7 linked regions of the Coturnix japonica genome follow. The main gene of each other region encodes a partner of the protein of the gene in region 4 in a complex. Links are inferred from orthologs where the notes say so. Each region holds a gene or a part of one and is shown on either strand. Other genes may lie near its edges. The genes, in order: SMARCC2, SMARCD3, DPF3, SMARCA2, PHF10, ARID1A and ARID1B.

Region 1 (4,635 bases), on a different chromosome or scaffold from region 4:
AGAGGAACTGGCCTCAAGGCCTGGCCACGTTGGAAACCCGTCAGATGAACCGACGTTACTACGAGAATTACGTGGCCAAACGGATCCCAGGCAAACAGGCCGTGGTGGTGATGGCCTGTGAGAACCAGCACATGGGTGAGGACATGGTGCTGGAGCCGGGGCTGGTGATGATATTTGCACACGGAGTGGAGGAAATATAAATGGACGTTGGAAGAAGCGATGCTTTGTGCTGAGGAGGGGGCTGGGACCGAGGCCTGGGGTGGATGCTGCCAATGGCCGGGCTCTGCTCACAGCTGGATGAAACGATTCCATGTCCCCCCCCCTTCCCCCCAAGTCCCCCTTATAACCGCTGCATCCACCCCAGCCCACCCCCCATTTGCCCCCTGCAGCTCCATATCCCCACTTGGTGTCTTCAGAGGGGGCAGAGGAGGCACAGCTGCACCCCGGGTACTGCTGGGCTGCTGCCCCATGGACTTCCAGCCCCATGGACTTCCAGCCCCATGGGCTTCCAGCCCCACGGATGCTCACGCTGTGCCTGCAGCCCCCCCGGCTGCCTCCCTTGTGCTCTCTGCCCTATGCTGCCTGTGTCTGTCCCAGGGGGCCAGGCCTGGCCTCCCTCTCCCCATTTAACCCTAAAGGCAGAGCTGGGCATTTATGGGCGAGGGGGAGCCAATGAGGGGGGGGGGTGGGGGGAGCAGGGAGGGGGTCTGGCACCACCCTGGGGGGCAATAGGAGCCCCCTCTGCCCCACTGCTGTTCCTCTGCAGCCACTCGTGCTCGTGGTTCTGTATTATTTTGTACTACTCAGCCTTCCCCCACCCCTCCATTCTTACCCCCCCCCTCCATTCTCCTCCCCCCCCCTTTGATTTTGGAGTGCCACCGATGGCTTCATACCCCCCCTTACCCCCCCCCATTCACCCTATGGGACTTTAATTTATTCTCATTCGTTACGTTGGTTTTTTTTACGGTCCTCCCCCCCCCTTCCCCCTATTTTCCGCTGTCTGTACGATGCGGTTCCGGGTCTCCCCCCCCCTTGTTGGTGGGGGGGGGGGGGGGGGGGGCGTTCAGCGATCAATAAAAACGGCTGTTCTGGTTTCTGTAGCGAAGCTGTGGCTGCTCTAGGAGGGGTCGGGGGGGGGGTCACACTAAAAGGGGCCGAGCCTTTCTGAACTGCTCCGTGTTATACAGAGTCCCACATTAAAAAGGGACCCCCCCCCCATTAAAAGATAAAGCTCCGTCACGGACAGGATTCGAACCTGCGCAGGGAAACCCTATTGGATTTCGAGTCCAACGCCTTCACCTCTCGGCCACCGTGACTTCAGCGCCTCCCTCATCCGCGCTCCGCCTAGACCCGGCACACCGCCCCCATCCATCGGGTCCTCCGTGCCGCCAGGGGGCGCTGTGTTCACTCATCTCCATTCGGCCTGCAGGGGGCGCTGTGCACACTCACCCCTGTTCTGCCCGCAGGGGGCGCCGTCCTGCAGTACCCTTCATTACCGGCAGGGGGCGCCGTCCCGCAGTTCCCTTCATTACCGGCAGGGGGCGCCGTCCCGCAGTACCCTTCATTACCGGCAGGGGGCGCCGTCCTGCAGTACCCCTCGTTACCGGCAGGGGGCGCTGCGTCACGTCACGGCGGGGAGCGGCCCGGCCCGCTGGAAGATGGCGGTGCGGAAGAAGGACGGCGGCCCCAACGTCAAATATTACGAGGCCTCGGACACCGTCAGTCAATTCGACAACGTCCGCCTTTGGTTGGGCAAGAACTACAAGAAGGTACGGATCGTTCGGGATCCCTCATAGGCCTCACGGCTCCGCTTTACACGGAGCCAGGCCCGAGGCTGAGCCCCCTCCCGCAGTACATCCAGGCCGAGCCCCCCACCAACAAATCGCTGTCGAGTCTCGTGGTTCAACTGCTGCAGTTCCAGGAGGAAGTGTTCGGGAAGCACGTCAGCAACGCGCCGCTCACCAAACTGCCGGTGCGTGACTGGGCCGGGCGGACAAAGGGACCCGCAAACCCCGCAACCCCCCCCAGGGACACCCCAGGACCTGCACGACCCGGCCCCGTAATGCCCTGGGTTGGGGGGGACACATGGGACCCCCCCCCCTCCCTTTGGAGGGGTCTTTGTAAGACCCCCCCGGCCCCAAATGGCCCAGCTGGGGTGGAGGGGACACATGGGGACCCTCCCCCTTCCCAACCCCCCCACCCCCTTTGGAGGGGTCTTTGCAAGACCCGAGGCACCCCCGGACCCGCAAGGCCCGGCCCCGTAATGCCCTGGGTTGGGGGGGACACATGGGACCCTCCCCTTTCCCAACCCCCCCACCCCCTTTGGAGGGGTCTTCCCCACCCCCATCCCTTTGGGGAGGTCTTTGCGAGACCCCCCCGGTTCCAAATGGCCCAGCTGGGGGGGGGGGGGGACACATGGGGACCCCCCCCCTTCCCAACCCCCCCACCCCCTTTGGAGGGGTCTTTGCGAGACCCCCCCGGCCCCAAATGTGGGATGACACGTGGGGACCCTCCTCTTCCCCCCCCCCCTCCTTTAGGAGGGTCTTTGTGAGACCCCCCCGGACCCGCAGGGCCCGGCCCCGTAATGCCCTGGGTTGGGGGGGACACGTGGGACCCCCCCCCCCCTTTGGAGGGGTCTTTGTGAGACCCCCCCGGCCCTGCAATGCCTTGGTGTTGGGGGGGACACATAGGGACCCTCCTCTTCCCCACCCCCGTTCCTTTGGGGTTGTCTTTGCGAGACCCCCCTGGCCCCAAATGGCCCAGCTGGGTGGGGAGGACATAGGGACCCTCCCCCTTCCCACCCCCATCCCTTTGAGGGGGTCTCTGTGAGACCCCCCAGGCCCCAAATGTGGGATGACACATAGGGACCCTCCTCTTCCCCCCCCCCCCTCCTATAGGGGGGTCTTTGTGAGACCCCCCCGGTCCCATAATACCTTGGTGTTGGGGGAGATACATGGGACCCTCCCCTTCCCCCCCCCCCCCCCTATAGGGGGGTCTTTGTGAGACCCCCCCGGTCCCATAATACCTTGGTGTTGGGGGAGATACATGGGACCCTCCCCTTCCCCACCCCCCACCCCCTTTGGAGGGGTCTTCCCCACCCCCATCCCTTTGGGGAGGTCTTTACGAGACCCCCCCGGCCCCGCAATGCCTTGGTGTTGGGGGGGACACATGGGGACACCCCCCACCCCCCACCCCGTTTGGAGGGGTCTTTGCAAGACCCGAGACACCCCCGGACCCGCAATGCCCTGGGTTGGGGGGGACACATGGGAACCCACCCCCCCACCCCCCTTTGGGGAGGTCTTTGCGAGACCCCCCCGGCCCCAAATGGCCCAGCTGGGGGGGGGGCACATGGGGACCCTCCCCTTTCCCAACCCCCCAACCCCCTTTGGAGGGGTCTTTGAAAGACCTGAGACACCCCCGGACCCGCACGGCCCGGCCCCGTAATGCCCTGGGTTGGGGGGGACACATGGGACCCTCCCCCTTCCCAACCCCCCACCCCCTTTGGAAGGGTCTTTGCGAGACCCCCCCGGCCCTTGGTGTGGGGGAACACATGGGGACCCACCCCCCCACCCCCCTTTGGGGAGGTCTTTGCGAGACCCCTCCAGCCCCAAATGGCCCAGCTGGGGGGGACACACATAGGGACCCTCTTCTTCCCCCCCCCCCCTCCTTTAGGGGGGTCTTTGTGAGACCCCCCCGGTCCTGCAATGCCTTGGTGGGGGGGGGACACATGGGACCCTCCCCCTTCCCACCCCCCACCCCCTTTGGAGGGGTCTTTGCGAGAGCCCCCCAGGCCCCACACGGCCCAGCTGGGAGGGATGGACACATGGGGACCCTCCTCTTCCCCACTCCCATCCCTTTGGGGGGCTCTTTGGGGCTGGGGTTGGGCGGGGGGGTTGTTGGGGTGGTCGCCCCCATGGCATGGAGCAGGGACAGCAATGGGGACAATAGGGAGAAGGGATGAGTCCCAGTGCTGCCCGCTGTGGGGCATTGCCTGCTATGTATGGGGTATTGCCTGCTGTGGGGCACTGCCCGCTGTGGGGTATTGCCCGCTGTGGGGCAGCCCCCCCCCCGAGTCCTCCCATCCCCTTTTCCAGATCAAATGCTTCCTGGATTTCAAGGCGGGGGGAGCCCTGTGCCACATCTTGGCGGCTGCTTATAAGTTCAAGAGCGACCAAGGATGGTGAGCGGCATCATAGGGAGGATGGGATGGAATTAAGGGTGGTGGTGGGGTTGGGAGGGGGGAGGCAGAGATTTGTCTGCTCTATGGGGCACAATGGGGGCGGTTACAGCCCTGGGTTGGGCAGTGTGTTGGCTGCCCATCTGTGGGTCACAGCCCCATACACAGATCCCTGTTGGGGTGTCCCCCCACCCCCCTTTAATGGGTAAAATGGGGCTGAGTGATGAGGAGACCTGAGCTGTGGCTTTCATGAGAGTCGCTCTTTTCTTCCAATAAGGCGGCGTTTCGATTTCCAGAATCCCTCGCGGATGGATCGCAACGTGGAGATGTTTATGACCATCGAGAAATCCCTGGTGCAGGTGGGAGCTGCTTCCCTCCCCTCCTCCCCACCTCCTCTATTTGTTCCCAGCTCTGTTTAATCCTTTGCTTTCCTTCCCCAGAACAACTGCCTGTCCCGG
Region 2 (4,334 bases), on a different chromosome or scaffold from region 4:
TATCCTACACGGCGCTGCCTGGGCCGGGGTCACCTTGAACATCAGCAGAGGCTGCTCCTCAGTCCCCGCGCACACGATGCCGTGTGTTCGCCATGGGCTGCTCCTCGCTGCTGCCCGATTCAGTGTCTTTTTGGTGCTTGTTTTTAACCACTGGGTGAGAGCAGCGATTTTATTCAATTCAGGTTCCCTTCTGATTCCCTTCTACTTGCAGCCTTGCCAAAAAATTCAGAGTCTATAGACATCAATCTCAAGGAGAGGAACAGAACAAACCCCTCTGGCAACACCTCTATCAATGTATCAGGCGGACGGGAGGCAGCCGCCCCCTCCAGCCGCACACACCGCGGTGAGCAGAGCCCCACGGCCACGCCGCTGTGCCGTCATGGAGGCGGCCCCGCCGCTGTGCACCGCAGAGCCGTTATTGCCGCTGTGCACCGCAGAGCCGTTATTACTGCTCTCCATCACGGAGGGGCCGCCGAGAAGCGCTGCAGAGGCCCCTTCCCCCCCGATGGGCCGCGGGGTCTCGTGGTGCCGCGCGGGGCTGTGCACGAGGAGCCGCGAGCTGCGGCAGCACAACGGCGAGCTGCGGGGATCGCGGCGTCTGCAGCCGTCAGTCACACGGGGCGTAGCGGGGCCGGAGAGCCCCGGACAGATCGCCCCGGGCGGGGCCGCCGCCATACTGCCATGCTGCCATACTGCCATACATCCATACTGCCATACTGCCATACTGCCATACATCCATACTGCCATACATCCATACTGCCATACTGCCATACTGCCATACTGCCGTGCTGCCATACATCCATACTGCCATACTGCCATACTGCCGTGCTGCCGTGCTGCTATGCCGCTATGCCGCCCCCGCTGCTCGCACGCCCCCCATCCCTTCTCCCCCGCTCCGTCCCTGCCCGCTCCCGTCTCTCCGCCTCCCGCCGCCTCTTCTCGCCGCAGGGGCCGTTCTCATCCTGGCGCTGGAATCGCCGCCAGCGAATGTTTGCCCGCTGCCGGCGGTCCCCGGGGACGGGGCCTGGAGCGCGGCGCGGGCGGAGCGCTGCGAACGGGGGGAGCCATTGTTTCTCCCCGCTCTCCCGCCGCATATTGTAATGGGAAAACTCCCCGGGAGCCGAGGCCGCCCCCTCCCCCTTGCCCCAGAATTTACCATCCCCTGCGCCGAGGAGGAGCGGCTGCGGCTCCGCCGCGAAAGGCCGGGACGTGTTTTCAATCTGCCTGGCTCTTATCTCGGGTGTTTGGACAGAGAGGTTTAAAAAGCGGGATTTTCTGTCCCCGCAGAGTAAACACGCAGAGCCCGGCAGCGCAAACTATTTCTGGCTTATCAGTGGAGGAATGCAGCAGCTGAGGCCGAGCGCGAGTGGGCCGTCAGGAAGGCCCTGAAGGGGCCCCCTCCCCACTCCGCGCTATTAGAAGTGTGAGAGCCCAGCAGGACTCAGAGGGGAGAGTTGGAGAAAAAGGCAGAAAAGGGAAAGAAAGAGGAAGAGAGAGAGTGAGAGAGGCTGAGCAGACCCCGATGGCTACAGACGAAGTTACAGGAGGGGCTCGCAAAGCTACGAAAAGCAAACTTTTTGAGTTTCTGGTCCATGGGGTGGTGAGTCGGGAAAGTTAGCGAGCTGCTGGCTCCGGATCGAGGGATGAGTGCAGAGCGGAGGCTGCGCCGGGCTGGAGCGGCCCCTGCTGCGCGCCCGTGGGGCGCCGCTCCCCGCCTCGCCCGGGAGCCGCGGGGCCGCCGGTGCACACGATGTGACCGATTCGTTGCTATACGGCTTTGTCTGGGGGGTTGCGTGCTGTGATTGCTGCTTTGATTCTCCGTGCTTGGTGAATAGCGTGCTCCCGAGCCTCGTCACGGTGCGGGATCTGCACCGCGTCTGACCCAAACGGGCTCGTAGGACACTTTGTTCTGTAAGCAAACTTGTGTTTTGAAAAGCAATTCTGATGCTGGTCCGACGCGGCCGTGTGGCGCTGCCTCTGGTTCTCGTCTCCAGCCTTGGCTCTGATGTATCCGCTGGCTACTTAACAGGTGACTTTCAGGGGCTTGGAGAGATTAGCGCTGCGGATCTCTGCCAGGCGATGGGCGCTCACCCACGAGGGAACGTCAGGTTGCCGCGCTTAATTAAAGGAATCACTCAGGTCTTTAAAAAATCGCCAGCTTTTGTTTAAGGAATCAGGTTTTTGATCTCCATTTAAGGGGATACGCTAACCTTGTTTTGCTGCCAGGAGAAACGATGTTCTTTAAATGACTGATGGTTGAAAGCGACCACCATTTATAGCATTCGGATGTCTCGTGCTGATACACTTTTAAGGAAATAAGACCCAGGAAACGCAGATATAGCTCAGATGGAGACAGTCCCTGCGTGTTTTCTCTCCTGAGCGTTCTGGCACCTTCTGTGACACCTTTTTGAAGACATCCGCTGCGTGTTCCTGTACAAAGGAATCTCGGGAGCTCGCTGCAGGCCTCTGGGTTGTCCCCATAATTCAGGCTTGCTCCAAATGTATTGGATCTTTCTTGTGTACTGCAGAGCCTGGCTATGATGAGCTTGCAGGGTGAAGGACTTTTAGATGGCATTCTGCTCCCTGAGAGCAGTGAGCAGGCAGAGCGGTGCCGATGTACATCAGCAGTCTGTGGCTGGATGGGCAGATATGACAGAAGCAGGTGTGCGGATCTGTGGCAGTAGCTGTGCTGTGAACACGTGTGTTGGTTAAGATGGTCTGGCTCAGGGTGGCTGTAGCTGGGTGGCCGCAGGCATCCCGGGAGGGCTGTGCACGAGGGTAGCTGTTTCTTTTTCCAAGGCTTCTGTTGGCACAACACTGCTCTTCCTTTGGTATTTCCAAGAGTTGCTAAGACAGTTGGATGACCCTGCTTCTTTCCCATGTAGATGTGAAAGGAGCCTGCTGGCCTCTTAAGCATGAGAAATGTTAATTCATACCAGAATTAATGCAGCAGAACTTGTTTCCATTAGTTATTTGGGTGCTAGAAAAGTCTGACTTGTCTGCACTGCCTGTTTCTCCATGAGAGGCGTCTCACTTGGTATCCACATTGCCTGAGTACCTGCATCTGGTTGTTACCTTTCCACTGCCTGTCAGGGGAAACAGAGCTTCTTGTCCATCACTCTTTGCCTGAGCTCCTCTTGTAGGACCCTCTGCGCCCCTCCATGATTATTTCCTTTGGTTCTGCTTTTGCTTCCGTGTTTGTTCTTCACTTCTAGTTTCTTCCTGACCTCAGGCTCATTTTGGTCAAAACAGGTTGAGGCAGCCAGTCTTCCATTGCTTACAAAAGACCCAAAGTTGCAACTTCATTTACCTGTTTACATATCCTATCGAATAAAAGAACGAGCCGTTACCCCGAGTGCAGATATTGCAGCCTCATCACCGCACGCGGCCTGTCTGCATCTGAATCAATTCCTTGAAGATTCAAGTTGAAGAGTAAAGTTTTCCAGCATGCCTTGGAATCAGGTTATGCCTCCACTCCAGGGAAAATCTCCTCTTCAGATTACTGGGTTTTTTTGTTCTCTCTTTGGCAAAATGATCTCTCTTGATTACTGCAGGTATTGTTATCGTTATTGTTTCATTTTCAGAAATGGGAGTGTATAAGCAGGGATAGAATGCCATGAGAAAAAAATGTACTGTTTGAAGAATTAAATAGAAAGGAGAATTTTGCACTATTTACTGAGAGCTGTTAGATTTTGGGTTTATTTGATCTTTCTGAAAACATGTGTTTCTCTGCTAAGGTCACTTCGCCCTTTGCTCTTGTGTGTTTCATCTTGCCTTTGTTCTTTCCCATGCTGCCAGCTCAGAAGAGATCTTCTTCCCTTTGTGTGGTTCAGATAGGATCCCTCTGTGCTGTCAGATCTCAGTGGTGAGAAGCCTCAGGTGTGATACTTCGCCCTGCTGGAGTAGTTTGTTACACCTCTGCTGAGCAGTTCTTTTCAAAAGACCGCCTTTCTTTCAGTTATTCCTTAGATTTCTCTAACTCCTGGTCTGTTGATCAGGGCCTCACACGCTGTATCTGTGGGAAGAGGGATTTTTTGCACAGGCTTCATCATCCTTCACTGTCACTTTCGCCCCTCTGCTCTATTTCCAGAACTGTTATGGATAAATTCAGCTTTAATGACCACCTTTATGCCTATATGTTTTTTCCTGATGTGTTTTCTACTGTCCAGCAGTACACTTCAGGCTGCCCTTGTGACATCTCACTCTGAGTATCTACTTGTTGACCCAAACCAAATTGTTAATTCCTGTAGGGTGATCCTCAGTTTCTCCCATGTCAGTTTCTCTGTTGTCTGTGTCCCTTCACTGGGTGTTGTCTTTGTCTTTTTTTTCTTTCT
Region 3 (3,864 bases), on a different chromosome or scaffold from region 4:
CTGGTTATCAAAAAATGAGAAGGAGGAGCCAGAGATGTCTGCCTGTTTTTTTTGTTCTTCAGTAAGTTTCTGATATCACCCCATGTCAACAAGAAAATACTACACCGTTACAGCCCATGGGGAAAGAGTACTGCTCCCATGAAAGTCATGAGGTGAAAATGACAAGTGACATAAAAAAAGGAGTATCAGGCTGTCAGATACAGAAAAATAGTGATTTGCACCAATCTGGCATCTTAAAATGGCAGTTGTGCCTATACAAGAGGGTAGTAGATAAACAACTAACAGAACAGCAAAGGGAGCCTCTTTTACCTTTGTGCGTGCATCCCTCCAGCTCCCTTGCTGTGTGTTATACTCTTTTTGCACACTAATGAATGTTGGAGTCAGAGCAAGTTAAGCTGTATCTCATTCTGCTCCTATTTTCTAATGAACTTACCCCTGATGGGTAGCTTTCCTAGCTATTCATGTCACGACTGAATTTCACCTTGACAGTAGATCAAGAATGAGGTTTCAGCAGTGTGGCCCACCTACTTTGCAGTGCTCCAGCATGACAGCTGCTTTGTGTCCTTAGGGTAGCTCTACTTTGATGCTTTTCCCTGTTTAGAACAATTTGGAGGGAGGATTTTGGTAATCTCCAGCAGGCAGTTTTCAAACCTTTCTCAGGGGAATATGAAGATTCGTCAGAATTTTTGAACCAATATTTATGAAACAAGTGACATTGTCTTTAGCATGGTTCTTCCCACTGAGCTCCAGAACAAAGGATTTGCCATGCTGCATCCTACCAACTGCTATTGTAGCTTGCTGCTGTTGGTGCCTTAAACCCGACTGTGGAAAACTCTGGAATGGTAGAGAGAAAACTAGTGTAAGCATTGCAAACATGGCTCAAGCTATTAACATGTGTGTTTTCACGACTCTGAAACACACAATATGAGGACTGTGTCTTTTGCTCTTCCAGGTTCTTTGGACTAAGAAATGCTGGATTGAAGTTGTAAACCTGTCTGGCTTTTTGGTTGCACACAATACTGCAGGAGTTGCTATAGCACAAAATTGACATGTGTGGTGTGCTGACTTGGCTGGGCAAACTACTGGGGAAGAGAGACAATAGAATGAGGTCACTGCTGTGTACATGGTGCCTGGCCCTGGGTCGGGAGCCAGTGTGGTTATACCATGTGCTCATTCAGTAACAATGCCTTCTGAAAAGATCTGTGTCTGGTTTCTAAAGAGTATCATCCTTTGACAGTTTCTGCATGATCTGCTTTGGTAGTGTGTGGTGTCAGTCAGCTTTTCACGTGTTCAGGGGAAGTTTTTCTGGTTGCCTATTTGAATAAGACAACCATATATGCCCGCCTTTTCCTAGTCTTGTTTAAGGAGAAGAGCAACCTTTTCTAATCTCCGCTCTGTCTCTTTTGGCAGGCTTGGGGACCAGTTCTACAAAGAAGCAATTGAGCACTGTCGCAGCTACAACTCTCGGCTGTGTGCTGAGCGGAGCGTTCGCCTTCCCTTCCTGGACTCGCAGACTGGGGTTGCTCAGAACAACTGCTACATCTGGATGGAGAAGCGGCACAGGGGACCAGGTTGGTAGCATTGTGTCTGCATGTGCGTGCACATGTCTGGAGGTCTGGCCACTGAGCCCTCATGGGATTTAATTAATAGGAACTCAAACCTGCTACAGGCCATGCAGAAGAGAAACTGCCTAAACCTCTGTGCCTGCAGGGGATTTCCTTTGGTAACTGCAGAGAGCTGATCCTAATTATTCTCTCTCTACCCGAAGAAGTGCCTGACATGGTAGTTTCTAAGGCTGTATCACTGTAGCTCTTCTAATGCTATTGATCCCAGTCTGTAGAAGGCACAATACCCTGCTCTGTAAGCAGGATTGAAATTATGTTCAGGGTGGAGAAGCAGAGGTGAAAGTCTTAGGTGAATGGTGAATATAAGGGGTTGTATCGGGCAGTATTTACAGTGGAGGTGAAATACAGGAGAGTCAAACTTCTGGAATGAATGTTGTTCTGATGATTATAAATGTAAGTATAACTTCTAGTTCTGTTCTGGACAAGTTTGGATATCAGCTCTGGAGCCTCAGTTTCCTTAGCTGCAGAAAAAAATTGGTATGCATCCTCAAATACCTTTGGCTAAGTTCTTGTCCAGAGGGGGAAAGACCACTGTTATTTTAATAGGCTTTGATCAGTCCTTCCTTCATTAGAGTGTAAATCCATCTGAAATGCTTGTTTTGAAAGCAGAGGACAATCACCAGTTCAGAGGCTTGATGTTACTTAAACAGAACTCCTGAAACCCAGTGAGAATTTTGCTAGAGTGTGGCTCAGTATCTGATCCACAGTTAGCACAGGCATGGATTTTCTGACAATACAGGAGTGGATTTGTGTTTCCCCCGCTTCTCCCCTCCCAATGTGCGTACTGGAGAATCCAGGCAGGAAAGAGTCAATTGTGCTCAGACACTGACCATGTGCACATATCCCTGTCAATTCCTGTAAACCATACTGAAAAAAAGAAAAGAAAAAAATCCAGACCTGTAACTGTGTGTAGGTGCAGGCTGCTGTTACCTCCTCCACTGGCTACCTTGCAGCAGCTGTAGCAGGAGGAACACAAATGTTATTTGCCTCCCCTCCTGTGAGCAGACTAGGAAATCAATTGATGCCTCTGAAGGGTGCTTATCTGAAACGCTTCCTAGGATAGGAGGGGGCATATCTTTACATTGCTTCTATTCCTAAAAAACTCAAAGTAGGTGTGGTGTGGTCTTGCAGTACCGCCAGAAAACTGTAGTAAAATGCAGCCACTTCTGTTGCAGGAGACAGCAGGTGTTTCACCAACATTAAATATATCCTAAGAATATTTCAACTGCCGAAACTACTCCAGTAATCTGAGATGCTAAATGTGGTTTGTGACCACGTTTTTTATTTTCTTTCTAATGTAAAACCTCCTAATTCCTAAGAGATTGTTAGCTTTTGCAAAGCTAGCTTTCCTTTTTTTTCTTTTTCTTCTTTTTGGCTAATCAGTTTGGCTGTGCAATTTCTGTTCTTGTAACATCAAGTTATGAGCAAGATGCTGTTTTTTAATCCTTGTAAACTCAGTAATAAACATGTATACATCCACTATATACACAAATGATGTCTTGGCAAGAGCACTTGCTACAAACTAAGCAAACGTAGTCTTGTATGGGTCTCATTGGTGTCTCTGCATTTATGGAGGAAATCATCCTAAAAGAGTTACAGCATCACACCAGGAGCCAAGAGCTCTGTCACTGGCTCTATGGATGACCTTTGGCAAATGCACTGAGCAAATCTTTTTGTTCACTTCTGTTACTGAACTTTCCTGTGGTTTCCCCTGCAAAAGAGTCAGTGGCTCCAGTGGGAACTAATGGCAGAACATTCCTCATAGAGAGTCTTAAGCGAATCAGGCTTTCTGCACTTGTTTCAGCCACCAAATCTGATGTCTTTGTTATTTTAAATTAGAATAATAAGTGCAAAATGAAGCAGCCCTCCTCCCCCATATTTGCTCTGCTCTTTCTTGATTTTTATTAGTCCCTTTAGTGCTCCCTTGGGTCTCTTTGCATCATCTATTTCTTGTAGTATTGTTATGGTGGGTCAAAGCATCCTTGTTTAGTTTTAGTGTCCTTGTTTTCAGGCTATACACATTGTACTTATGCTCATACTGAACATCTTCAAAAATTTGTTACCAGCACACAAGATGGATACTAAGGTGGCTATGTTCATTGCCATTTACTATCTGTAACCTGAAAAACTGTATAAAGACAAATGGCAAAGATCCAGGAACCATTTTCTTTTACAGAGAGTTTGAAAAACAGAGGAGAGTTGGGATCTCAGTGTATTAACCTGGTTTCTCACTGTCCTC
Region 4 (3,864 bases):
TTTGAAATCATTTCCCCTTGTTCTGTCACTACAGACCCTGCTGAAGAGTCTGTCCTTCTTTCCTGTAACCCCTCTTTATTTACTGAAAAGTTGCTTTCAGGTCAGGTCGGAGCTTTCTGCTCCCAGGTTTCTCAGCCTGTCCTCACAGGAGAAGTGTTTCATCCCTTGGATCATTTTTTGTGGCCCTTCTCTGGATGCACTCCAACAGATTTATGTCTCTGTCTCTCCTGAGTCTAGTCTTGAATTAGTCTGCCATTCTGCTATCTCTTTGTTGTATTTAATGCTAAAATATGTCATTCAAAAAAAAAAAAAAAAAGTAAGATTGTTCTTTTTAGGAATATTTAAACCACAGAACCATAACTGCTCAGACAACAGCTCATTTAGCTAATTTCAGGTGGCACTTTGTTCTTGCTGAAAGTATTACAACCCTCCTGACTTCAAAGGGCTGTTTTTATACTCTGTGTACTGCCAAAGAAACGTGATGGAATTTGGATTTGACTAGTCAGGGTGCTAAATTTGTGATCATCTCATCTGTTTTAGGTTATATGTCTCCACACCCATCTCCACTAGGAGCACCAGAGCATGTGTCCAGCCCGATGTCTGGAGGAGGTCCAACTCCACCCCAGATGACTCCTAGCCAGCCAGGACCTATTATACCTGGGGATCCACAAGTTATGAGTCAACCCAACAGAGGTCCTTCCCCTTTCAGCCCTGTACAGCTGCACCAACTTCGGGCTCAGATTCTAGCATACAAAATGTTAGCTAGAGGTCAGCCTTTGCCAGAAAACCTCCAGCTTGCTGTTCAGGGAAAGCGGACCCTTCCAGGCATTCAACAGCAGCAGCCTCCCAGTGCCTTCAACAGACAGTCTGGTAAGTGCATCTAGGCCTTGTGTCATTGCACAAGTAATGCTCAAAGTTCTACTTGTGAGATGTTACAGGAGCATAGTGTTCACATTATAATTTGGGACAACATTCTGAACTTTTTAATACTGAGAAAGTGCATTGAACCTACCTATTACTAATAGAATATTGTACACAGAAATAGAAGTGTCCTCCTGAATTATACCTGACATTTTTTGAGTTTTAATCATAGTTTATCAATCACAGGTTTACTCTTTTTAGAGTAATTTCCAGTTTCCTGTTATGTGGAAAAAACAGAAAATTTGGAGCAGATTAAAGGAAAACAAACTATGTATAGTATGCTGCTGAGTATGTATAATGAAAAGAAAAATTTCTTTATTAGTCTTTCTCTTCCAATGATAAAAAATGTTACAGTGCAGTAAGCAGAGCACACTTTAGTCTTGAGAAAACTTTGTTAACATTGAACACCATGTACCATTTGTATTTTATTAACATTTCCATTTTTGATTATTAGAAATTGAGTGTTAAGTCTATCTTGTTTTCTTGCTAGTTATGATTTTAATAGTTCATTTCAGTGTATATCACTTAGCTAAAAAGTAGAGGCTTTTGGGTTTTTACCCAGCATCCTATAAAACAGAACAGTTGTTGAATGTTTCTTTCTTAATACAATTCTTTCTTAATACAGTTCTTTCCTCTGCCAAATTGTTAGGTATTGGGATGCATGCAATGAGTGGTGCTGCAACTGGACCAGGGCCTGCTGCAGGAATACCTGGACATACAGCTGCCATTACCCCTAAAACTTGGAATGAAGGTATAGGGAAATATAAATCTCGTATTATTTCATACATGGAGTTATGGTAAGACAGTGTAGGTAGAGAGTGAGAAAAAAATAGGGGGAAAAGAAAAGAAAAAGTTAAAAGTAATACAGACAAAACAGTGTAACCTTTACTGTGCCTAGGACTTAAATATCAAGGAGAATTTAACCATTTGTTCATCACTTGGCCAGATGAAGTTATTGCAGTTAGGCAAAGTAAACTTGAAGCACCTTTTTATAATCAAAGTGAAATACATAAGCTGCCTGAGGGACACCCATAAAATAGGTACTTAAGTTATATTCTCAGCATGCTTAATTGCAGGAAGTTTGTCTTTCAACTGTATTCTTTGTTTCTGTAAAGTCAAGTTTTCAAACCATGTTAGAATTAGGCTTTTTTTTTTTTTTTTTTTTTTAATTGCTTTGAAAGTACATTGTGGTCCTTGAGATTTAAAGAACACTGTAACATTTTTTTCACCAGTTGGTGTGATAATAATTTTTGGAATAAAAATATTTAGATTTGGATTTACAGGCTCATTTTATGATTTGAAAGAAGAAGGTGGGCAGTATTGAAATTCATTAGAAATTATTAAGAATATATTTTGAATTTGTTTTTCAAGAAAAATTTAAAGGTAAATATAGTATTACAGGCTTGTGAATAAAGTGTTTCTCATTCAGCAGAAATCTTATACATTGTTGTTGCTTGTAGGTAAATCTGAGGACAGACAGAGAACTGTGATAGTTGATGGATAGTACTTTTTTTTTTTTTTTTAAATACAGAATGAAGTGTGTGTATGTAAGTGTGTGTTTATCTGGTAATTTTGAATGTTTTTCTGAACTCACATTCTTCTGCAGAAACTGTCTTGAATTTCTTCCTGTGTTCTATATTTCATGTTATGAATAAGTATTTTTTTTATGATTCAGGCCAAACCCCAGATATGAGTGTATCCAGTGCACAGCAGAAACTTCCTGCACCATCTCCGAGTGGGAGGCCTTCTCCTGCCCCTACTGCTGCCCAGCCTGCTGCTGCTATGCCTGGGCCTTCTGTACCACAGCCACCACCTGGACAGCCTTCCCCCATTGTTCAGCTGCAGCAAAAGCAGAATCGCATCAGCCCTATTCAAAAGCCACAAGGATTAGACCCTGTTGAAATTCTTCAAGAACGCGAATATAGGTAAAAGTGAATAATATGATTCAAGTACATTTGCAGGTTGTTATTTTTCACTTTCTGAACAAGGTGTCCTTGCAACGTAATGTAGTAGTAAAAACCAAGTAAACCGAGTTTCCAGAGAAGAATCATGTTAAAGAGAAGTAGAAACATTATACTCAAAAAGGTAATCTAATTGCACCCCATATAAGGAACTAGGAAAGGGTACTGTCATTACAGACCTTCTAGGTTTAATAGGCTCAGGGACTCTGCTTGGTTGCTGTAGTATTGGATGCTTCAAAAGACAAAAGTTAGGAAATCTAAATCCCTGTAATCTAGAGAGAAACAGATTTACTGTGGGAAGTTTTCAAAATTACATACAAGTTATAAAGGGAATAATGGAAGTCAAAAGGCTGATAAAAGTTAGTGGCTAGAGCAAAAACAAGTTTTATTAGTGTGATTGTGAGGTTGTCTGAACTCCAAAGAGTACGGAGGTCATGAGGAAGATTAAAGAAGAGGTTACCAGAAAACATGGTCTTAAAAGTTGCTTCCTGAGTGCCTCAATTCAACGATGATTTATATTCATATATAAAGTATAGAGGATAACATTTCTTTCAGAATTAGATAAGGAGTTCTCATGCTTTTTCACTGTCATCAAGACCATTGAGATAGCAATAGTTAGCCTTGAGAATCTGCAGGGCAAGAAGGGTCTTGACCTGCACCTGAAGTGTTTCTAATCATTATCCATTAGTGAGAAGAGACCACACATTGTGTATTTTCTTGGTTTGAACTGATAAAAGCATCTTCCAATTACTGTAATGATGAGTTTGTAACAGAAAGGTAGCCAGAAGGAGTGATGATCTTGCCAAAAACAGGTTTAATGACTTTAAATTTGTGAAGATAAAGCACCATGGAGTTATATAGTATGTGGTGCTATGCTCAGTATATAGGTTTTGATCACAGAAAAGCTTTCACTTTCTGCATAAAATAATACTAAAGTAATTTTAGGTCATTTCATTGTGGTCTTTTTTTTTTTTCTTTTTTA
Region 5 (4,426 bases), on a different chromosome or scaffold from region 4:
TCTGCACCATACAGGAAATGAAATACAAACACAAGGCCAGCTTTACAGTAAGAAATCACCAACTAAATACTTTGGAATTAAGCTGGGGTCAGTCTTCAAAAGCTACTTACTGATCTAACACTCAATTCATTCTTTTGTATAGATTTTTCAGTGGCAAGACTGAAAAGTCTTAAATTACATAGAATTCCTACTTGAAATCTGTAGGATATATTTTCAAAAAGCCAGTAACAAAATCACAAAGTTGAACATACAGAATAGAGATTCACTTTTGCTATGATATTTTAATTAAATGGACCATTCTGTGGTCAAAAAGACACAGAGATTACATTTAAAACCTAAAAAGGCAGATTTTTAGAAGAAAGACTTTTAAATACATATATATATACCTGGATATTTTCTTTTAAAGGAAGTCACACCCAAATATTCACTAACTTGCTCCTGAAGCATATAGTACTCCCCTGTTTCATCTGGCGGCCACTTGTACTCTATCAGGTTTTCAGCAGGAAAATAGCTGTATCTGAGCGTAAGAACAACATCAGAAGAAATCAAAGAATGCTGGGAGAAAAAGACCAATAGCTACTTGCACCACTCAATTCAAACAGTTAAACAAAGAACATGAAAGAACGGAGAAGAGCTAATGCTTCAGCATATCAAATGAAACAGTAAGACTAGCAATAAAAGGCTGTATTACCCGAGGTCCTGACTAGAAGTCTCACAGCTCCGAGAACTGTCCCCTGAGCCCATCCGCCGTCTTTTCGACGGCTGGCTGCCATCATTGGAATTTTCTTCAGTGTCATCCTGAAACAAAGATGAAAACAGATATTTATCAATTTAAAGCATTCAGCGGGTAATTTAAAACATCAAAAACATTCTAATATGAAGTTTAGACATACCTGAAGGACTGAGCTGTTCAACAATAGTCTCTACACAAAACTGACAGGATAGTTTACACAGCAAACGTAAGAACTGATAGACAACTTATGAAAAGATGGAGTAGCAAAAGCTTTTTGTCAATGAAGGGATTAAGAAAATAACCCTAAAGCTACTGACTAATAACACTATATGACTCATACCTATTCTTTGCTTGTTAGCAACAGATCTCAAAGCATCTAGTGATCAGAGTTACATGACTACAAGTGAGAAACAGAAAACAAAGCAGTCGAGCAAGCTGCACATAGTGAGCAGCAGTAGATCCAAGAACAAAACTACCTCAAATAAAAGAAACCATGGACTAGTATGAAAATATCATTAAAATAAATGCCAGTTCAAAAGAATAATAAAATGCAATGTTCAAAATGTTCATACTGATTGTCACTGAATTAAAGTACCCTTTTGGATGGCTGCATTAACAGCTTTCAAGCAAAGCAGGTAATTGTAGATATATATATTTTTTGTAAGTTAGTATCAGCCCTGAGCTGATTTGATTTAGTTGGTCAGCTTTTGCCGGGCACAGAAAGTCATTTAGTTTCCATATGGTCCCATTACTGGGGAATTTTGGTCCAGGCTGTTTGACCTGGATCTCAAATTTCCACTTGGATTGTATTTATAAGTATGGGAAAAGAAACCGCTTTTCTTTTATTTTGTCAGGTATGCTTTGCAACTCTCTTACTTCCTCAGTTGGAAGCTGGACTGAGACTGCTCTTTGCTACAACTAATATAAGTCCACAGCTCATTCCTTTCTCCCACACAGCACCCTGATGCACTGTAGAGTTTAGAGCTGATGGACATAACTACTAAAGCTATGTTTCCTATAGCAAAGCTGACAAGAAACTTCAAAGTATTGCACCGGTTTTCTCTTACTGCATCGAAGTTTTCCCTTTCTGAACACCGTGTTTATAGTACATAAGCACCCACACCGCAGGAGGGACAGCTGCCTCTGCCTCCTCCGCTTTTAGTTTCGCTCACAGAATCACAGAATGACCCGGGTTGGAAGGGACCTCAAGGATCATGTAGTTCCAACCCCCCTGCCTGGCAGGGCCACCAAACATACACCTTTACTAGATCAGGTTGCCCAGGGCCCCGTCCAACCTGGTCTTGAACACCTCCAAGGACGGGGCATCCACAACCTCCCTGGGCAGCCTGTTCCAGGGCCTGACCACTCTCCTAGTGAAGAAGAAACTGCTCCGCAGACGAACACAAAACACGCAAGGAAACAAGGCAGGACGGTGCAAAGGACTCGGCAAACAAGTGAGAACACGACAGTTCAGTCAGAAAAGCTCAGCCGAAACAGGCCTTGCCTTCCTCTTCCTTCCCCGCCTGGCAGAAGCACGCCCAGCACAGCCGCACTGCTGCCTGTTGGTTGGCTCTTTAAAGTTACAGAGCGAAGTCTCCGTACGCCAATCAGCTTCCAGAGCTCCGCCACGACGCTTTATTTTGTAACTGGCAGCCGGAACTACCCAAACCTCCTCCAAAAGTGCCCAACGAGCCGTGCCCGCGGGGCCGCTCGCAGCCAGCCCCAAACTTGGCGTGGTGCGGCGGTCCGGCACGGGCGGCGCTCAGAGGAGCCACGGCGGCCGCACGGGCGCTTGGCCCCGACCCCGCGCCACAACTTCGCCGCAGCCGCGGGAGGCCGCCAACACCCCCGGGCGCCCCACCGCGAGGAGAGCCCGGGCTCAGAGCGGAGCCCCGCGGGGGGGGGGGGCGCCGGCCGAGGCCTCCCGCCGCCCGGCCGCAGCCTCGGGCCGCCCGCCGCGCTCACCTTCAGGGACTGGTTTCCGGGCGTGGCCGGGTCGCTCTCGCAGAGGCGCGGGGACAGCACGGCCGCCATGAGCGCCGCGGGGGCCGCCGCCGGCTGGGCGAGGAGAAGCGCCGCCGCCGCGCGCCCCGGCCTCGCGCCGCGCCCGGCTCCGCCCCCCCTCCCCCTGCGGGGGGTGGCAACGGCCCCTACCGGCCAGCCCGGGCACGAGCGCGGCGCCTCGCGCAGCTCCTGCTCCGCCCCCCTCCGGGCTGCCCGCGGCGACCCCGGCCCGCGCCGCCGGACCGGCACGCGGCCCGCCCCGCCCGCAACGCCGCGCGGGCCCGGCAACGCCGCTCCGCCGCCGCTACCGCCGCCGCAGCCGCGCCCTCCTCCTCCTCCTCCTCCTCCTCCGGCCGCCGCAGCCGCCGCCGCTCGAGCGGCCGCGCGGCCCAACCGCGAGCGCGGGGCCGATCCGCCTCGGCAGCGCTTGGGTAGCAGCGCGGCGCGCAGGGGCAGCATCCCCACGGCGTGGTGGGCGCCGAGCGCCGCCGCCGCCGTCCGGTGCGGGAGCTGGCCCCTGCAGGGCTGGGCTGCTCCGTCTCCGGCGCGTCAGCCGGGGACGAGCTACGTTTGTGAACCATCCACCAGCGCAGGAGGGGTGTACGGGGGGCGGGGGGGAGCACTCGCAGGAAGCCGGTGCGAGCGCTCTCCCCCCCGAGGAGGGCGCTTGAAGCCGGCCCCGCCGCTGCGCGGAAGGAGCGAACGCGCCGCCGTCAACCCGCACCCCCTCCGGCCGCGCCCGTCGCCGCTCCCCCGGCCGTACCTGGCAGGAGAGCCCCCGTCCGCTCCGCGCCTCGGCCCGCACGCGGCCCCGCCCGCACCGCACCGGAGAACAAAGCGCGAAGCCACTCCCACGCGGGGACCGCAGTCCCCCGCCTCGGGCCGCCGTGGATGGCGGGGAGCTGCCGCGCGGCCGGCACCGAAGCCCTAGAGCGCTCCTGCCCGCGCCTTCAGCCTGGGCACCGCTCCGTACAGCCCGTCTGCACAGCCCCGGGCACGTTCAGGGATAACACCGCCAGCCTTAGGAAACGTTTACATGGAGCTCGTAACAATAGAAATGGTGTCAGAGCTCCTTTCCCACATTCCGCAGGATCTGTGCCTCGCGGATCTACCTTAACTCTTATTAGCCCTCGCCGTTGTTGTCTTCTACAGCCCGTTATCAATAGCCATGCTCCAGGGCACGTTCTTCTTGTCCTTGCCCTGAGAAGCTGCTTGCTGAATTCAGCGCTTACTCACCCGCCTGAGCACTGCAGTACTTAGAACAAGACTAATAGTCAACGACCAAACTCAGCCCCTTCCAGGAGCATATGTGGAAATTCACACCAATTAAGCATGTAAAAGATGGCTTCCCAATTCACATTTCTACCTAAAAAAGCCAAACAGCACTGCCTTCTCTCTCAAGAAAGTATGCATTCAAGAAACCCATTACCTACAATTTATTGTAAACATTAACAACTCGATGCATACAACAGGCAAGCAGCATTCAAAATGTGCTGAAGTTTGGCTTTCCACCAGTTGCTTTGACTTCACATCAGAGTGTTACAACAGATGAAGCCCATATGTATGTACTCAACCATAGACGTTTCAGAAACCAGTTTTTACAAAGCAAAGTGGCCAAATTTATCTCGACTATCACGTCAGCTTTGTTATTTTTGTGCTATATTTTGGATCGATGCTGTTGGGCAAATG
Region 6 (3,864 bases), on a different chromosome or scaffold from region 4:
ATGAGGAAATGCCACCCAGTACTGTTATGACCACCCCTTACTTTGAATCTTACAGTCACAGAACTTAAGCAACTAACATTTGTGGAAAAGATCTGGAAAAGCCAAACAACGAGCCTGCATCAAACATTCAGAGACCAAAGGGCCAGTGACAGTTGAATACGATGCCAGAAGCCAAAACACTTGCAGTTATAATGCTGGCACAGCCTTTAGATGCTGTCTCACCACAGAATTCATATTATCAGGACAGGTAATTTTTAGCTACGCATCTAGCTCTACAAACAGATTTGTACCATTAGAACTTCTCTAAGCCAAATCACATACCTCGATCTTGAGCTATGCTTGACTGGCTCATGGAAGGATGCATGATACTGTCTGACTGGCCACTGGGTGGTCGCGGCGGCATCTGATTGCCTGCACCACAAAAAGGAGAATGGTTAATCACAAGAATTGCTCACCACAAAATCAAAGATGCAACAGTGTTAAAAACCAGAACTACAAACAGTTGCACAAGGGCATTTTAGCCACAGTGAAGGAAAAAAAAGAGCAAGATCAACCACACTAACCCAGGAAAATGACACTGCTGGTTTGTCAGCTACCCCACCCACTGGACTGTATTCTGTACATGTTACAGGCATTTCAAAGGAAAAAAAAAAAAAGAAGATGGAAGAGATTGCAAGCTCTCAATAGCCACAAAATACTGACACTGGCCAGTTTCTCCCCACCAACAATTTTAACCAAAGGATCACTAGGTGCCAAGCTGTGTTACCTGGTACTGCAGCAGGTGAAAGTGGACCAGAGCGGGACTGAGCAACACTAGCTGGAGAACCAACAGGGGATGGGGAAGGTCCTCTGATGCCTGGCAGATGAGGAGAGGTATGTGGAGAGAAAGGAGACTGAGCTGGGTTACTCTGCTCTCCTTGACTGCTGGAAATCCCTGATGTGCTTACTCCAGGACTCAGGGCTCCTTCTGTACCCATGGGTAGATCATCTATTGAACCAGACAGGTCCTGCAATACATAAAGAAACAGATCAGCCATCAGCAAATAAAGAGACATGGGACTACTCTCTCATATACCACCCAGAAAGTGAATTTCACCCTTAGGCATACTACAAATTGAAATCAATCAACTTGGCTCATGTCATTGTCAGTAATAAAGGTTGTTGAAGACTGAGGTAACTGCTGAATGTGTTGTATCCTGCTACCTGCCCCTGAATCGAGCAGTTCCCTTGGTACTTTGATGAATGTCTGCTGATGGTCCTAACACCTACTTCTTTTAATTCAATTTAGAGGCAAGAAACTATATCAACAATACACATAAAGCTGCATATGGAGAAGGTACTCAGTGTGACTATGATTTGGAACAGAAACATGGCTCATCCTCTCAACAACAGAAAACTCCTGCCTCATTCATGAACCTCATGTGAGCTGGGAAACTACTCACTTGAGATGAATAAAAATAAATAAATAAATAGATTTTTTCAAAGAAAACCGTAGAACATTCCTCAGGGTTTCCACTTCCCTTTCTTCAAAGATAGCAAAATCTAGCATGTACAGTATTGACATTCAAAGTTTAGGACTTTTTTCTTTTCTCTTTCTTTTTTCCAGAGAATACCCTTCATGTTGCATATATTAAGCATGTAAAAGGAAAGTACCAAAAACCAGCATGGCTTCACCAAGGGCAGATCTTGCCTGACCAATCTGCTGGTGTTCTATGACGGAGTGATGGCATTGGGGGACAGGGGAAGATGACAGCCATCACCCTTCAGGTACTCTGCAAAGCCTTCAGCATGGTCCCTCACCACATCCTTCTCTCAGAATTGGAGAGGTATGGATTTGAAGGATGGACTGTTTGGCAGACTAAGAATTGGTTGGCTGGTTGCAGTCAAAAAGTTGTGATCAATGGCTCTGTGTCAGGGTGGAGGTCAGTCACAAGTGGTGTCCATCAGGGGTTGGTTTTGGGACCAGTGCCTTTCAACGCAATGGCACCGAGTGCAGTCTCATCAAGTCAGCAGACAACACCAAGCTGAGTGGTGCAGTCAATACACTGGAGGGAAGGGAAGCCATCCAGAGAGACCTGGACAGGCTGGAGAAGTGGAGCCATGAAAACCTAATGAGGTTCAACAAGGCCAAGTGCAGGATACTGCACCTGGGCTGGGGCAATCCCAGGTATTTATACAAGCCAGGGGAAGACCTCCTTGAGAGGAGCACTGCAAAGGACTTGAGGGTCCTAGCGGACAAAAAGCTGGACATGAGCAAGCAGTGTGCGCTTGCAGCCCAGAAGGACAACTGTGTTCCAGGCTCCATTAAAAGAGGAGTGGCCAGCAGGGAGAGGGAGGTCACTGTCCCCTCTACTTGACTCTTGTGAGGCCCCATCTGCAGTACTGCGTCCAGGCCCAAGCCCCCCAGTAAAAGGACATGGAGCTCTTGGAACAGGTTCAGAGGAGGAGCCACTAAGATGGTCAGAGGGCTGAAGCACATCTCCTATGAGGGAAAGATTTAGGGAACTGGGTTTGTTTAACTTGGAGAAGAGAAGGCTGTGGGGAGACCTCCTTATGGCCTTCCAGTACTTGAAGAGAAAGTATAAACAGGAGGGGGAACAGCTGTTTGCAAGGGAAGATAGTGACAGGACAAGGGGGAATGGTCTTAAACTGAGACAGGGGAGATTTAGGTTGTATATTAGGAAGAAGTTTTTCACCCAGAAGTTGGTGACACACTGGAACAGGTTGCCCAAGGAGGCTGTGGATGCCCCATCCCTGCAGGCATTCAAGGCCAGGCTGGATGTGGCTGTGGACAGCCTGGGCTGCTGGTTGGCGACCCTGCACATAGCAGGGGGGTTGAAACTAGATGATCACTGTGGTCCTTTCCAACACAGGCCATTCTATAATTCCGTAATTCTATGAAAAACCTAAAAAAGTTGAAATCTTCTATTTCAACAACACTCACTGCAAAGCAACAGTGCCAAAAATCACTTGGTAAGTCTCAAAAATGGAGATATACTTGGGAATACTCCAAACACAACTGCATTGGCTGCTTGATGCTAAGCTGCATTGGCTACTCAGGGTCAACCTGGAGTAAGAGGGCAAGGAATAGTCCACAGCAGAGTAATACAGTCTGTTATGGCACATTTGAACACTGAAAAGTTGCTACTCCAGCAATTAGAGATTCAGAACATCACAGTAGGTTAAGAAATGGCAGACCAAAGCTTACTAGGCCCTTGTCTACCCTTTGCAAGTCTTCCAGAGCAATCAACCCTAGCTCAGAAGTGCTCTGGATTGAGCGCAGAAAGCCATTTTAGATAAGGTTCCTCTCAACACAATTCAGCTGATTAGCACAGAGCCAACCTCACTGAAAAAAAACATGCAGAAAGACTGGGAATCCTGAAAAGTCACTGAGATACCCTGGTCCCGTTTACACTGCCTGGACAATGCCTCGTTTAGCAGCAGTTCCAGGAACTCTCCTAACTCCCTGTGACACGCAAGGACCTCATACGCAAGATACTGCAAGCGTATCAGCCTCCAGAAGCAAGTGCTTTGACCACACCTTAGAAAGCAGAAAACTGGGGTTACAGAAGATAAAATAACCTAAGAAATATCCAACAACCTCATCACACTTGTTGAACAGAGAGCAACACTCAAAACGACAAAGGGGAGCGATGGGGATCAACTGCACCACTTTCAGTTGTCTGCTGTAGTAGGGCAATCTTGTCTGTTTTACAGTAGAACTGGTTAACAGTGTTTCTAGGAAATGCTGGAAAATGCTACATTTGAGCTGGAAATGCCAGTTACTTGATGGGAGAACTCTGTTTGTAGTATGTCCTTGTTCTCCTTCCACCACTACATCAGTCTGGTAGATAACTTCCTGCA
Region 7 (3,837 bases), on a different chromosome or scaffold from region 4:
GGGCTTTCCTGCGCGGAGGAATCTCCATCTTGCTTTCAAAGTGAGTCTGGATATGCTCAGTTGTGTCGCCACCACCAAGCTGCCAGTGGAGAAGTCCACTATCAAATTCCTGAACGCGTCCAAGTTTGTCAGATCGGTCAACAACAAATAGATTATTTTTCTTTACAATCTTTATTGGCAGCTTGTCAAATTTACTGGCTTGTTTTGGCCTTTCACTTGGATCAGCAATGGCACCAGGAGTGGAAAAAACAATGCTCTTTTCTTCTCCTTCTACGTTTTCATCCTCCCCCTCCTCCTCCTCTTCATCGAAACAGTCAATACATTCGTCACTCTCCTCTTTTCCAGTATCCTCTGCCAAGGACTGGCTATCATCTTTCTTGGCTGATTTGTGATCAAGTGCTTTGTGACCTGGATCTCCCACTTCATATTCCATGAGGATTCCAAAAATGTCAATCAGGCATTTTCTAAAATATTCTACTAAAAGCTCAAGAAATCCAGACAACTAAGGGGAGAAAAAAAAACAACATAAAAAACAAATATTTTTGACTGCATGAAATTTCATACGGAACACTAAATTGTACAACTTCCTGCCTTTTGCTGTGGACTTGTGGCTAGGTCCCTGCATGGCAGAAGCTAATCAAATGAAATTTTTCTAGTGTCTGTCTAATCAGTATGTAACACCAGACCACCACGATTCCATTTGCTTAAAACCTAACAGCTATGAAAAGTACAGTACTTTTCTTCTTATGCACTAGCACCTTAGCTACTTTTTAGCCTAGCTGTTCCATCCTGGGATGTGCCTAATATACTTTATTGTTTCTTCAGAGTACTGAAGTTTCTAACCCTCTTTGCTTTTCTGAATTGTACATTTATTAGACTCTGGAAGTTGACAATTCTTTATCTCTTCCTTTGTCTCTCAGTCTCTAAAACCATCTGTTCTGTTAGAATACACAGTTCAGGTTCGAGGTACTGATATCCCAGATTAGTAATCCATCTCTACTGGTATGACTCTCTTTTTGTGTGATGGTATTTCAAAATTGTCATTAGAGCCCAGTGGTGTAAGTCATCCTTCAGAAACAGTTTTCATTTAGCTTTAATCCTCTTAATTAACTGGTAATCACTTTCTCACAGAAAGGCAGTAGTTGGACTCGATACTAATTTACCCTCAGTTGCTTTATTATTAAAATCTCTTTACTGATATGATACATTCAGCCCAATTGTCTGCCTTTTAATGGTTGTTTTAATTGTGGGCTAACAGATATTTTGCAAAATGCATCCTTTCACCCATTCTGTATTCATACCATTGCCAAAAATCCCAAAGAAATGAGAACAAACAGATGCTTATAAACAGTGGGAATTATCGATTGTCATATGGAGTCCTGACTGACACTAGAAATCAAGTTCAAAGCAAAAGCAACCTCTAAAATCTAAAATGATCTGGTATTCTGTGCAATTTGCACAAGGTGTATTAATGCAGTCTCTACAGAATTCAGGAGATTCATCTCCCTTAATTCCAAACACCTGCAACAGTTACAAGCCTAATCATCTAGATTCTTTTTATAATCAGTGATCTTTTCAAGGCCATTTCCAGGGTATGATTCATCTGACCTATTTTAGATCTCTACTTTAGGATGAGATGAATTATGCTACAGATATCCCTAGTTCTAAAGTTAGGTGGAATGAAACGTATAATCTGTGCCTTTTTATTTTTTTTTAATTTTTTTTTTAAAAAAAAGGTCATTATATTTTAAAAAAGATGAGTTACACTATTAGTAGCCAGGGAGTGAGTGGAGCAGAGAAACTCCATTAGATGGCATTACCAGAACGCCATCTATAACAACCATCTAACAGGCTGATAGGTAGAGCAGGGCTGAAAAATGCTGGGAGGGAGAGAGGCAAAAGCATACACTGTTAAACTGTATGCTACTATCCTGTGTGCAGACAGTGGATTTTAGCCTTTTAATTGTTTGATAAACCTACTAGTTTTGTACAAGCTTACTTTGTGGGTAGAAGGAACAAAAAAACCCCAACAAAATATCTCACAGCCGAGTATAAGGACTAGTGAATAAGACAAATAGCAACTGAAAGACAGTCTCAAATCTAACATCATTCTGCAATGACTTTTTTGGAATGTTTTTTATGTGAAATTACTAACAATGCTATTTTCTGGGATTATCCTTGTTCAACAACAAATGTGAATTTACACATTAGTCTTCTGCCAGTGTTAACACTCTTACATTCCTATGTATTCCTTTCCACAAAAGCTGCTCTCCTTTTAAGCTTATTATTTCCCCAATTCCACCCTTAAGTACATTTTGTTACTCACTGTTATCAAATTACAAATTGAAGTTTTGCAATATTCTGACTTACGTTAACATATTTTAAGAGACTTCAGCATTTTCATATCTATTTTCTTAGTGTTTTCTTTCCTTGGAAAGCTTAGAGGTACTCTGCTTTCCCACCTACCTGAGAGAGGTTGAAAGTAGCGACAGTGCTATCATCATATAGAAGAATATTAATAGTGTCTAGCGCCCAGGTACTTTCAGCCAAAAGACCAGATTTAAGAGACATCATCACTCTCCAGGCCTCAGGAGTTACTGGAGAAAGAAAAGATAAGCATAAAACAGTATTAGTGCAACCTATGAGAGTTGAAGACTTGCGATGTTTTGAAAGAATAAACTGTGATGTTCTGAGGATGCAAAATATATAGGAAATAGTTACTGAATAATTACTGAAACACTGCTTAAGACCCTGGTTTCACCACTTAGCTCCGTTATGTTTTTCTCTCTTACTTAGTGCTAATTCTGGAGAGCATTTTAATGGGGCCATTCTTCTTGACCCTGCTGAAGAAATCATCTTACAAACTTTTAAGAAGCTGGCTATAACAAACAATACATAAATGCAAGTAGAATATTCTGTCATGAATATGGGAACCTGAGGTATGGGAACTGGAACATGTGAAATATAACAGGAATTCAAGATAAGAAGATACTTAGGAAAGAATTTGGAGAGAAACAGAAGTGGCAAATAATATGGCATGAAAAAACGGGCCATTCCGCCTTACTTAGGCAGACACTGTAAGGGCACAGAGCAATAGCTCTGTTGTGAGCTTCCATGGAACAAGAATGTGGAAATCTTTGCTCACCTAAACACTGCACCAGTGATTTAACAGACATTCTGGTGGATCTTTCAACAAATAGCATTTGGAAGCCCAGACAAGCTTTATTTTTAATGTAATATTGCACTTTTTGAGAACTCAGGTCTCCATACAGAAAACTGATTTCATATGGTGTTGAACTTGCTGGTATGAGATTTGTCATCCTCACTGATTCATATTCTATTGCATTTTTAGTGAACACATAATAGCTACCAAAGTTAATTACTTGTCAAAGCAGTCTTAACAAGTAAAGGAAAACAAAAACCAAAGATCCTTTCTCCCAACCTTGCTCCCAAAAGCATTTCGCTTTTGTTTCTGTACTTACCAATATCTTTTGAGGTAATCTTTCGCCTTGGTTTTAAGACTGGCTGCGATGCTTCTACAGAGCCTGGGGGGAAGGTAATTTCTCGCCTAATCGGTGGTGGTTGGGGTGGAGGTCCTGTGACCTGTGACACTGGAACTGTGGGTATAACCTTTTGCATCTTCATGGAGGGTAGGAAAGGAGACTTGCTTGGAGACATACGGTTTTCCAAAGAGCGCTGGAAGGATGCTGGACTTGGAGCTCTAGAGATGTGATTTGGCATAGAGGGTGGTGTCTGGTAGGATGACTGAGGAGGCCTAGTGATAGGCTGCATGGAGGCTGAAGATGACATATAAGAAGGCTGACGTTGGTTGACATG

What was found.
Region 1: SMARCA2 (region 4) and SMARCC2 share a complex: the UniProt entries of both Homo sapiens proteins name them as parts of the BAF complex. The link is inferred for Coturnix japonica from reciprocal best matches to the Homo sapiens genes SMARCA2 and SMARCC2.
Region 2: SMARCA2 (region 4) and SMARCD3 share a complex: the UniProt entries of both Homo sapiens proteins name them as parts of the BAF complex. The link is inferred for Coturnix japonica from reciprocal best matches to the Homo sapiens genes SMARCA2 and SMARCD3.
Region 3: SMARCA2 (region 4) and DPF3 share a complex: the UniProt entries of both Homo sapiens proteins name them as parts of the BAF complex. The link is inferred for Coturnix japonica from reciprocal best matches to the Homo sapiens genes SMARCA2 and DPF3.
Region 5: SMARCA2 (region 4) and PHF10 share a complex: the UniProt entries of both Homo sapiens proteins name them as parts of the neural progenitors-specific chromatin remodeling complex. The link is inferred for Coturnix japonica from reciprocal best matches to the Homo sapiens genes SMARCA2 and PHF10.
Region 6: SMARCA2 (region 4) and ARID1A share a complex: the UniProt entries of both Homo sapiens proteins name them as parts of the neuron-specific chromatin remodeling complex. The link is inferred for Coturnix japonica from reciprocal best matches to the Homo sapiens genes SMARCA2 and ARID1A.
Region 7: SMARCA2 (region 4) and ARID1B share a complex: the UniProt entries of both Homo sapiens proteins name them as parts of the neuron-specific chromatin remodeling complex. The link is inferred for Coturnix japonica from reciprocal best matches to the Homo sapiens genes SMARCA2 and ARID1B.

The regions. Positions count from the first base shown.
Region 1 is NC_029544.1:895,634-900,268, reverse strand, and holds the start of SMARCC2 (SWI/SNF complex subunit SMARCC2), read left to right. Parts: upstream 1-1,614; 5' UTR 1,615-1,658; coding exon 1,659-1,769; intron 1,770-1,852; coding exon 1,853-1,972; intron 1,973-4,088; exon of another isoform or gene 4,089-4,094; coding exon 4,095-4,180; intron 4,181-4,454; coding exon 4,455-4,536; intron 4,537-4,617; coding exon 4,618-4,635. Other genes in the region: RNF41 (E3 ubiquitin-protein ligase NRDP1), read left to right, coding at 1-200. UniProt on the Homo sapiens protein: Involved in transcriptional activation and repression of select genes by chromatin remodeling (alteration of DNA-nucleosome topology).
Region 2 is NC_029517.1:105,755-110,088, reverse strand, and holds the start of SMARCD3 (SWI/SNF-related matrix-associated actin-dependent regulator of chromatin subfamily D member 3), read left to right. Parts: upstream 1-1,393; 5' UTR 1,394-1,522; coding exon 1,523-1,600; intron 1,601-4,334. UniProt on the Homo sapiens protein: Involved in transcriptional activation and repression of select genes by chromatin remodeling (alteration of DNA-nucleosome topology).
Region 3 is NC_029520.1:23,819,193-23,823,056, forward strand, and holds part of DPF3 (zinc finger protein DPF3), read left to right. Parts: intron 1-1,410; coding exon 1,411-1,571; intron 1,572-3,864. UniProt on the Homo sapiens protein: Belongs to the neuron-specific chromatin remodeling complex (nBAF complex).
Region 4 is NC_029547.1:23,971,748-23,975,611, forward strand, and holds part of SMARCA2 (probable global transcription activator SNF2L2), read left to right. Parts: intron 1-540; coding exon 541-870; intron 871-1,570; coding exon 1,571-1,672; intron 1,673-2,596; coding exon 2,597-2,846; intron 2,847-3,864. UniProt on the Homo sapiens protein: ATPase involved in transcriptional activation and repression of select genes by chromatin remodeling (alteration of DNA-nucleosome topology).
Region 5 is NC_029518.1:36,955,973-36,960,398, reverse strand, and holds the start of PHF10 (PHD finger protein 10), read right to left. Parts: upstream 2,833-4,426; 5' UTR 2,768-2,832; coding exon 2,699-2,767; intron 799-2,698; coding exon 692-798; intron 518-691; coding exon 387-517; intron 1-386. UniProt on the Homo sapiens protein: Involved in transcription activity regulation by chromatin remodeling. Belongs to the neural progenitors-specific chromatin remodeling complex (npBAF complex) and is required for the proliferation of neural progenitors.
Region 6 is NC_029538.1:63,320-67,183, forward strand, and holds part of ARID1A (AT-rich interactive domain-containing protein 1A), read right to left. Parts: intron 1,008-3,864; coding exon 767-1,007; intron 412-766; coding exon 322-411; intron 1-321. UniProt on the Homo sapiens protein: Involved in transcriptional activation and repression of select genes by chromatin remodeling (alteration of DNA-nucleosome topology).
Region 7 is NC_029518.1:46,525,978-46,529,814, reverse strand, and holds part of ARID1B (AT-rich interactive domain-containing protein 1B), read right to left. Parts: coding exon 3,483-3,837; intron 2,598-3,482; coding exon 2,467-2,597; intron 503-2,466; coding exon 1-502. UniProt on the Homo sapiens protein: Involved in transcriptional activation and repression of select genes by chromatin remodeling (alteration of DNA-nucleosome topology).